2 linked regions of the Drosophila melanogaster genome follow. The protein of the gene in region 1 interacts with the protein of each later gene in a pairwise test. Each region holds a gene or a part of one and is shown in the gene's direction. Other genes may lie near its edges. The genes, in order: Vdup1 and CG13742.

Region 1 (5,108 bases):
CTCCTGGTAGTGGTAGGCTCTGCATCCCGAAGCCTTTACTGGTTATTGTGTAAGCTAGTGCTCTATGGAGGCATCACAAAGGAAGGGGTTAGCCAAAAGAGAACCTTAGATATGCTAATACAGATATGGTATAAGAAGCGTGGCGAACAAACCATTTGGTGTAATTTATGCAACCTAACCGCTTGTAAGCAGAGCTGACAATTAGTTAACAGTTCTTCTTTAGAATAAGGTCCTCTCATCGGCTGCGGCCGTCAGAACGTGTCAATTTCGGTCATTAGCTAGTTATGAAAATCTGTGGTAACTTGTGTATGGCGCTTCGATTGGACCAGTGATGAACTAGAATCAGCCTTCTTCATGTAAACACTAAGTTACTCACGGAGCGCTATTATGAGTGTCTTTATTGTTACAATTTTAACTTTCTCGCGTTCCACTGGCCCGACCGAAGACAGTTTAAAGTTTTCGATGCGAACCGTGCCTTACCAGCGCGCTCGGTATCTTCGCCACAACTGAGCCACTGCCCCAAGTCGGACATAGAAGCAGCTCGATTTAAGGGAGAGCGTGCCAGAGAGGTGAAACAAGGCAAGAGCAACGAAAACAGTGGCCAATGCGCCCAGCCAGTTGGGCATGAGAAAGTTTTGCAGGTGTAGCTCTGCTACACCTCTTGTTTTTCTCTTTGAGACTTTACGGTATCGTTGGTAAGTTTATGGAGTGGACCAGCCACTCCCCCTTGGTGATTGATGTTACACCAAGATATTCTCTGCCTTCACGTCTGGCTTTCGCTATTATTATAAGAGATGGAGATAGGCTTACTATAGGTTCCTCAGCGCCGGACTTTCAGAAAAATGATAAACAGAGCTGAGATTCGGAGATCGGTTCGGTGGTGCGCGGAGCAGCTTTGAAACCACACTGACTTTAACTCAAGAATACTTAGTTGTGGGCTCCACGAAACTTCGAGCTCAAGCGATTATCATTTTGAACCAAACTAGTATAGACGTCTCTATTCGAAACAACCTAATTTTCAGATACTCTATACGTCGAGGCCACAAACGGGAAATCTTTGGAGTCTCGTTGAAATCTCTCTTCGCGGTAAAGACTTGGGTCATTATAAAACAACAACTCCCAGCAATTAAGCCGAGAAACATTGAAATGGAAAACTATAGCCTAGCCATTGCTACTAAATGTCACTAATGCCGTTGGAAGAAATATGAAAAGCTGGAAAAGTTAAATACGAAAGTGATTTGTTTTCTCTTATAGCCAGCATAGTCTTCAAAACGATTGATTTCTTCAGTCCATATATAGTTTGACCATCGTTGCATCTCTACTCTTTCTAATATTATCTTATACTTTGTCGATCATAAGGATAACCTACAGATTCCTTTTAATAAAGTTTTCAAGGTATCTGCCACAGGACTCATTTTTTGACTAATTTTCAGGGTATAGCCATAGCTTGCCACAGCTTGCCACAGGCTGCCGAGCCATTCACCGATTCGGTTTTCGCAGCCAGTGATAGTTTGCTTGGCTTTTGGCCTTTCATTTTCATGAGCTACAGTTGAGGTTCTTCGATTTGGGTACCTTAAAACAACAAATAACCGGTATTAAATGCATGCATAATGCATAAATGTGTGCCACTTTATCCATTTTAGTCTGCACACGATTTGTCGACTATGGATAAATACCTGTAAAATATGGGCTTGGTGTTGGAAATACAGATTTATTTTCTAGGTGCAACCGAGTAACACAAGATACACCTGCTGAGCTATAGCGGGGCGACTCTGCGAGCATTGCCATATTATTAGCAAATTGCTCCTATAATCGATTCAGTTTGAACAGCTTAGCTAACCGTTGAGGTGACAATTTGGTTCTCATGCTCGTTTGGTCTTCTGTTGTCTGTGGTGCCGTTCCAGTTTTTTCCGTTTGAATTTATTCAAGAAGATACGCGCTTTGCGTATCCTGTAAGCCCGCTGGAAAGGTAAATTCAGCCATGTATTACATGAATGCAAAAGATAGTAAAAACAAAAGCGGGCTACTTATTGGCATTACGACATCAGCTGGCTCCGGCTGGGCCTCTCTCAAACGATCCCTCGCAAAAACGCGCTCAAAACAAGTTTTTCAGTCGAGCTCTCGTCCGCAAACTGATGCATAACGACGACGACGATGACGACGACGGTGATCAGTTGCCAAACAAACGCTCGAGAGCGTGGACGAGATCTTGCCAAACGAATATCGCTCAAAGGCAGAACGGGTTAAATCGGTTCGGTTTGGACTGGTGTTCCGATCTGGCCAAAAAACACCTTTGTGTGTACAGGTATTTGAAAAGCGATCATTATTTCAAGTGCGCCCACAGGGATGAAGAGAAAACAATTGATCTGTTGTGGATAAAAACAAAAATGTTGAACAATTTGAATGTAATCATTCCAATGGCAGTGTACGGTTGGGAATCCGCTTTCCACTAGGAAATTACGTCAGTTTTCTTTTCGGTTTCTGTTTCCCAATCAGGAATCATCAACATTGTCACCAGTGCACCAAACAGGCTTGCCGACAGTCGCAGTTGCAGCTTACGCTTTTGGTAAAGATGTACATACTGGAGTTTTGCCCAAATTTGTAGGCGCGGGCGTGACACGCCCGACATGCTTCATGCGCCGACCTTGCAGTTGATGCTTAAGTGTTCGGGGCTTTCGTGCTGCATAGTTGTGCACGCAGCCATCTCTTGGCCGTACGAAACTGGTTTTGTTTCCTTTGCCCGCCTAGATGCTACCCACATAAATATGCAAACAAGCGCCGTATGTATGTGAGACCGTAGTCCGTAGTACATGGTCTCAGACCTAGCCAGCTATGACGGATAAGTTGTCATTAACCATAATGACGCGTGCGGAGCGGGTCAAATATTTGGCAACCGTGTTCTAACGAATTTCGTTGGTTTTTCCTTAGGCGTACGAATGAAATCGGCAACAAAACAGAGGCACGATGCCGCGCAAGTTGCTTAAATTCCTTATCATCTTCGACAACACTTCCCTCCTGTACTTCCCGGGCCAGTTTCTCTCCGGACGGGTTCTAATCGAATTGCAGGATGAGACGCCTGCTTTGGGACTTCATTTCCATGTGGTAGGCGAAGGGGTCGTGCGCAACGGGCGGCGACAGGAGCGGACATACGATAAGGAGAACTATATCGACTTTCGGATGCGACTTCTGGGGGACGTAGACCAAGGAGGTCCAGCTATACTCTCGCCAGGAATTCACAGCTTCCCCTTCAAACTCGGCTTGCCACTGGGTCTTCCATCTACATTTCTCGGTCGGTACGGCTGGATTCAGTTCTACTGCAAGGCGGCGCTCCGCGAGAACAATGGCATTATCCATAAGAACCACCAGGTCTTCATTGTGATGAATCCCATCGACCTAAACCTTGAAAAGCCCATCTTAGCAGTAAGTAGCTTTAAAAACCCTGTTTAAAAAAACTAACCTTTCGCCTGACTCAGCAACCGTTCACCTGCGAAGTTGAGCACAAGCTAGGCGTCGTCTGTGTTGGTGGAGGTCAGATAAAGTGCAGAGTGTCCCTTGATCGCGGTGGGTATGTGCCCGGCGAGAATATTCTGGTCACCGCATTTATATCCAACTACAGTAATGTGTCCATTAAACGGACTAAGGCATCCCTCACTGAGGTCGGTATCGCTTTCAAGTGGCTAGTTACAATTCATCCATTTTGATCTTATTTGGATTTTATTTAGACCATCGAGTATTTGGCGCGGGGGAAGGTGGTGCAAACGGAAAAACGGGAGCTGGCTGTTTTAGTTCGTGGCAAGATCCGTCCGGGGGCCAAAGACGAGTGGCACAACGAGCTTTACGTTCCACCCCTGCCGCCGACCAATCTTCATGGCTGCCACCTGATCAAAATATCCTACGACGTCTTCTTCGTGATCGAACCCAAGTCCATGGAGAAGGAGATTAAGCTACAGCTTCCTATCGTGCTTGCGACGTACCCCTTTCGACACTCCGGTGATGCGGTCAATGCCAACACCTGGCCGGAATCGGTGCTTAAGCCGGACACGCACACCCACTATCCGTCCACACTACCCATATTCCGGCCCTGGCTGCACGAGAAGCCTATCGAGGCATAGCCCGCAGCTTTTAGGATTGCTGTGTATCACAACTTGTTAAGACCGATTTGCGCCATACAACAATTTAAACTTATTTAACTTATACTTAACGTTTTTTAATGTTTCTGGTCTTTGCATTTGTAGGTCTTCCGTTCCCAAAAATTTGTTCATGATTGAAGAATTTATAACAAATACAAACGAAAGTTAACATAAAGACCAGACTTTGATAAATTATAATTAGCTCATATACATAACTTTTTATAAAACCTAAATATTGTAGGTTATATATTATTAAAATGGTAAAACTGCACTCATTAACCTTCTAACTACTACTAAATGGTTATAATAATAATAATAATCCCAAAAGTATGGTTGTTGAAATTGAAATAAATTGTTTAAAACGTTACAGCCTAAAGTATGCTATTAAAAAGCTGGCTTGTTCGGAATTTAAATTCGCGAAATTAAGTATTGATTCCAAAACTAAAAAGGGCCACACTGCACGTTAAGATGACAACAATTATATTAGTCCTCTTTATTTGGATAGTTTTATTCAATGACGTATCCAGCGACTGTGGCTGCCAAAAGCTCGACCGGAAGGCCCCGGATATGCCGTCCATTTCCGGACAAGTGTGCCAGCAACGAGCACAGGGTGCACACAGCCACTACCGGGATTACTATGGCGAACTGGAGCCAAATATTGCGGACATGTCACTGCTTCCGGGAGGCACGGTTTACATGGGTACTGACAAACCGCACTTTCCGGCCGACCGCGAGGCTCCGGAACGGCAGGTGAAGCTGAATGACTTCTACATCGACAAGTATGAGGTTTCCAACGAAGCCTTTGCGAAGTTTGTTCTGCACACTAACTACACCACGGAGGCTGAGCGATATGGCGACAGTTTTCTGTTTAAGAGCCTTTTGAGCCCATTGGAGCAGAAGAACCTAGAGGACTTCCGAGTGGCGAGCGCTGTCTGGTGGTACAAAGTGGCCGGCGTGAACTGGCGACATCCAAATGGC
Region 2 (5,469 bases), on another chromosome or scaffold:
GATGGGATACAAAAATTGTTATAAAATACAACGAATATGCGTATTTTCCACTGCTTACAAAGCTTCCATTTGGTCGGGGTCCTTCCCCTCCATAATCCACGTCTTTCGCCTATAGTTTTGCGCTCGCTCGTCGAAATCGTTATTATCTAATTGCATCTCTGATTCACGGCGCGTGACATTTACTTGCATAAAGATTCTCTCCACCATGCGCTCTAATTTATATAATATATATATTAAAGATAGTTATTTTGTGTGCCACTAATTCCAACAAAACTTACGATCGATGGGATGCTCTGTAAGTTTGGTGTTGATCTCCTCCTCAATGGCGGCCAAAAGCTCTAGATCGCGTGGAAAGCGGAATATGGAGATGGACATGCCCTTGCGCCCCGCTCTTGCTGTTCTGCCTACGCGATGGATGTACTCCTTTGGTGTCCGGGGAAGCATGTGATTCATAACCAGCTCGACGCTGGGTATATCCAGACCTCTGGCGGCCACATCCGTAGCGATCAGTGTACGTATTTGGTTGGACTTGAAGCGACTTAGAGCAGCTACGCGCTCCTTTTGCCGCATGAAACCATGCAAGCAAACATTATCGATTTCCATGTTCTTCAGTGTCATCGAGAGAAGCTGACAGTACCTAAAATGATTCGTTATTAAATCCTTAGAATTTACTTCCTATTATTGTGCAACTAACTTTTTTGTGTTGGTGAAGATCATGACATTAGCGTTTTCGTTCTCCTCGCGATACTTTCTTAGTGCCTCTATTAAGACCATGTCGCGATCGTAGTCGGCGCACAGCAGATAACGCTGGTCCAGAGTCTCTACAGTGGCCACGTCTGAGTCCTGCGACCATTCAAAACACTACATTCGGATTAAGATATCTATTAGTACCATTCAACAGGGTATTCATAAAACTTACATCGCTGGCAATGGGAAATATGCTGGACTCCTTTATGAAGTCCTTCATGGTTGCGGAAAAGAAAAGGTTTTGCCTTGTCTTTGGCAAACAGCGCTCAATGATGGATAGGCTCTCGTCAAAGTCTCCGTTCAGCATGCGATCCGCTTCGTCAACAACCAAATACTTCAGATTGTCGAAGGAGAAGGTGTCGCAGCCGGTTAGGTGATCCGCGAGACGGCCGGGCATGGCCACCACGATGTGCGGTCGCTGCATAAGCTTCTGGCTCTCGACCATTTGGTCTGTGCCGCCAGAGACAACACATACGCGCACCCCCATCGCCTGTCCAGCCACAAGAAACTGCTCGGAGATTTGATAGGCCAACTCGTGCGTGGGCGTCAGCACCAGGGCGAAGTGGCTCACTGGCTCTTCGCTCAGCCGCTCCAGAATGGGCAGGGCAAAGGCGAAGGTCTTGCCCGAGCCCGTCTTGGCAGCTCCAATGCAATCCTGGCCCGCCAATATCGCTGGGATGCATTTCTGTTGGATTGGAGTTGCTCCCTTCAGGCCTGAAAGCGCAATGGTTTAATTACTTGGGTAAACCCGTGGACGGCTTGACATTACCCAACTTGGTCAGCTGCTTAACCAACCATGGACGTAGGCCCAGGATCTGAAAGGGATTGGCCTCCTTTCGTTGCATTTCGGTAAATAAAAATACAACGAAATAAAAAAGGAAAACAACGTGCGCTGTATTAGTGATGGAAGTATTGTCTTCTGTATCGGTATATAACTATCGATACGTTTTTAATTTTTGCTCCGTGTGAGTGGTTAGCTGTATTTAGTACGCATTTTTAATTTAAATTCAATTAAATTTTTTATTTACTTCAACCGCAGAATTATTGGCGAGTAATAAGAAAAAATTCACTATAAAATTAATAATACATTTTATAATTAATCGACAATAGTCACGCTCTAGACAGGTAAGATTCCGCATCTATGGGCGCGATCATTTTGTAAACACACTGAATATTTCGATTTAGACTCAATGCAAAGATGTCCGAAAACCATGATAGCCTGGGTGCATCTGTAGCCTACAGTGAGCTGGTGGCTATAGACCAGAAGGACATCATCCTGATGATAGACTTTGATTCGGCGGTTTCCATTTGCTCAGCATGTATCGCAAATAAATCCGCGAATCCTGTGGATGTCTTGACATTGTGGTTCACCAAACTATTAGGAGCATACATCGACGATTCCGGGTATTGTGTACTAGCAGCTCGGGAAATGTGCAAGTGGTTCACGATCGTAGGTAATTCTTACACAATGCGCTTCAGTCTATTAACTTTAAATTCGTCCTCAGGAAGCAGAAACTGGCAATGAAGTCCACAGCGGTCATATAAAACTCATGTCTGTGGCACAAGAATTTGTATCCACATTCAGGGATCGATTGCTGGAAGCAGGCGAACGTTTGGTTCAAATCCTTGCCTATCTTGTCTTTACAATTATCGACTTCTGTTTAATGTGGTAAGAGGGGCTTGGATAAAACCTATATGTAAAATATTTCTATATATTTTTGCTTACATCATTCAGCGATAAGAGTCATCGCCAGATTGTTGCGGATCTTCAACTCGAAACGCTTTCTTTAATAAAGGATTCTATCATTAATTTGACAGAAGTCCACCCTCGCCTTGCGACCTGTAAGTTAGGAATACTAACGAATTGATACACCCAAAAATTTGAGTATTATCTGAAAGTTGTTGTAGACTAATTATAGACTTTATATTAAACAATTGTCAGTGATGCAAAAGATAATGGAAATCGCAGATACCGAAGGAACACGCACTGGTGATCTGCAGTTATCTGTACAGACAGGCGAGACGTTGGCTCATATTTGCTTGCACTTCATGACAACCTGGCATGCTAATCCTACAGACGAAAAACTGCCCAATTGGCTTAGGGAAACTGTTTTTCATCTATGTGATGTGGTTACCGTTCACTTGAATAGTACTTTTGACATCGTTCGTATAACAAAGCTTACGATTTGTAAAAGAGTTTATTTAACAAGACATTTTTTTTAGGACAATCGTATTGTTCCTGCGGAAAAGTTAGAGGAGCTTGTAGATGGTATCAGGACCTACATTGTATTGTTATATCATATTCTTCAAAAAGGTGTGGTGTATGTTGATGATGATGTAGCTGTTTGTCTGATGGACTTAATAATGTGTGAACGAACGTAAGTTTGAAAAATGAAATGGTTATTTGCAATAATTGTATTTTCTTTTAGGAGGCCATCACATTACTCTGACATCGAGAAGCAACAGCTAATTTCTGTGTTAGTACGACCACATGTACTAGATATTTTAGAGCTGCTTTACAAGTTCCAAAAATGTCAAGAAGTAAGATGAAATTCAGAAATCGCTTGCAAATAAATGTCTTCGGATAGACTTTGATTGAAAACTATTCATTCATACAATACATCATCAGATTTTGTTAATGTTACTAAAATTTGTCCTTTTAGTATTTAATATCCAGTGTCCTTGGTACACCAAAATTTGACTACTTCGACGCTTGCATGGATTTTATTAATGCTGTGTCTACAGACGATGCGGATGTGCTCCCATCTACTTGCCGAACATTACAACAAACTTTTGAATATTTGTTTAAAGGTAAGGTGTCGATTCGATCATATTTATTTCTTACTACTTACTGAGCCCACAGATGCTAAAAATTTTGTTCACGGCGAACGCTATAATCAAGTATTGGATGCGTTTGGTTGTCTTTTGTATTTAGTGGGTAACATAGAACTACATAGGTATTTCTGTGCCGGCATATTTCAAAAGGATTTTATTACATCGCAAGTGTGTGCGGATATTCTCATGCTGTGCTTTCGGTTAGTAATTATAAATCATACATTTTAAAATTTATTTCACTATTCTATGTTTTTAGGCTAAAAGAGGCCAACAAATGCTGGACAGATCATGCCATAAAAGAGGCTATGGCTCACTGGCATAAGTGCAATAATTCTTACGCCATGTTTTCCACAAATCCAAGCCAATTGCATGTACAACGATTCCTTAGGTACTTCCACTGCTTGGGAAAGCAGGAACTTCCTGTCATAAGCATTCAAAACTTCCGGCACCTGTCTGTCGTCGCAAAATCAGATGGCCACGTGGGAATGAAGATATTGAAGCGCTTAGAACTCATCTCCACCTCAGCGCCCACAAAAGTTGAGTTGTACTATGAAGTGGTAAGCAAGTAGAAGTACACTTATAAAATGGATATACATACCTTGATTTTTTATACCCAAAGGTTGCTCTACTGGAACTTTTGGTGCACCACGATCAAATCGACTGTTCCCATTGGTTTCAGCGGACATCGGAAATGGCCAATAAACTTTTAGGCATTGACAAGAGCATTAGCTTTGCTAATGTTTACTTCAAACTACTAGCGCGTGCGAATGGATCCACCAAATTACTTATACTTAGGGGACTGCCTCCAAATGCTGGATGCACAAACTGGTATCGCGAGAAATTCCTCGACTCCTGCAAAGTCAGCGATGACGCCCAACTAAGAGCATTTAGTGCCCGCCATGCAATATACCCATTGTTTAAGGCATTGCATGTCGAACCCGGAACTGTTGTCGACGGTTCATTTGATCTCAGTAAATCAAGCTACATTCGCCATGGAGATCATAAATGTCCGGTCTCTAGTCTAAAACGTCGACGGAGTGAATTGGCGCCTAAAGAAATCCTTCGTAATATATATGAGGCTTCTCTTCAACTGACCCAGTGCACCGCGAATTTCGATGCTGCCGACTGGGAATTGCTCAAGAAGGTAATGGCCAATTTGAGTGGAATTGTACCCTAGCTCCCTGCTCTATGCTTTTCGTATCGCTCACTTACCTAAATCAATTAATTACCACCTGTGTACTCATTTTGAATAAGAATCCCTAATTAAGATGTTGTGCGATAAGGCGGTTAAAAATAACGTGTAAATAAAGACAGTTTACCTGCAAGCGAAGCGGATGTAAAGCTAACGAAACTGCCTGCGAAATAGGATCGAAAGGCTACCCTGGTGATGTCTGATCGTCGGGATGGTGCCATTGCACTCAGCGAAGCGATGACAATGCCCAGGGATCCGGGATTGGCAAACCCACAAAGGGCAAAAGTGGCTATGGCAGCGCTCCGCGGCTATAAGAATACTAGTTTTAAAATAATCTATAAGAATAGAATATGCAGATGGGTACTCACATCAACCTTTTTATCGCTAACCAATATGCCCAGGTTTCTATAAGCCACAAACTCGTTTATGAACGACTTTTGGGCCACCACCAGGCCAATTGCTTGACAATCGTGCCACGGCACGCCCATCACGAAGACAATCGGGATAAAGATCTGGGAGAGAATGTAGAGTAGGGTGATGTTATGCAGTCCAATTAGCTCGAAAATCCACTCCGTTACAGCGTCTAGGAAGAACACAATGGCTAGGAAGGCGATGATATTCGAGACGATTCCGAGCACAATCAACAAGGCTGCTGCAGCTCCCGAGGCGGCCGCATCCAAAATAGACGTATCCGT

What was found.
Region 2: the proteins of Vdup1 (region 1) and CG13742 interact in a two-hybrid assay, tested with the Drosophila melanogaster proteins (one large-scale study listed by BioGRID).

Annotation. Positions count from the first base shown.
Region 1 is NT_037436.4:175,694-180,801, reverse strand, and holds Vdup1 (vitamin D[[3]] up-regulated protein 1), read left to right. Parts: upstream 1-1,838; 5' UTR 1,839-1,969; intron 1,970-2,166; exon of another isoform or gene 2,167-2,305; intron 2,306-2,496; exon of another isoform or gene 2,497-2,928; 5' UTR 2,929-2,964; coding exon 2,965-3,420; intron 3,421-3,473; coding exon 3,474-3,656; intron 3,657-3,722; coding exon 3,723-4,112; 3' UTR 4,113-4,300; downstream 4,301-5,108. Other genes in the region: CG13875 (uncharacterized protein), read right to left, coding at 1-25; CG7049 (uncharacterized protein), read left to right, coding at 4,599-5,108.
Region 2 is NT_033778.4:9,084,034-9,089,502, reverse strand, and holds CG13742 (uncharacterized protein), read left to right. Parts: upstream 1-1,870; 5' UTR 1,871-1,872; intron 1,873-1,932; 5' UTR 1,933-1,945; coding exon 1,946-2,197; intron 2,198-2,252; coding exon 2,253-2,416; intron 2,417-2,482; coding exon 2,483-2,589; intron 2,590-2,689; coding exon 2,690-2,910; intron 2,911-2,970; coding exon 2,971-3,125; intron 3,126-3,176; coding exon 3,177-3,288; intron 3,289-3,410; coding exon 3,411-3,558; intron 3,559-3,610; coding exon 3,611-3,782; intron 3,783-3,785; exon of another isoform or gene 3,786-3,838; coding exon 3,839-4,139; intron 4,140-4,180; exon of another isoform or gene 4,181-4,201; coding exon 4,202-4,759; 3' UTR 4,760-4,803; coding exon of another isoform or gene 4,804-4,841; 3' UTR 4,842-4,901; downstream 4,902-5,469. Other genes in the region: Dbp45A (DEAD box protein 45A), read right to left, coding at 59-212, 279-637, 695-861, 920-1,461, 1,517-1,592; CNT1 (concentrative nucleoside transporter 1), read right to left, coding at 4,804-4,841, 4,902-5,082, 5,143-5,469.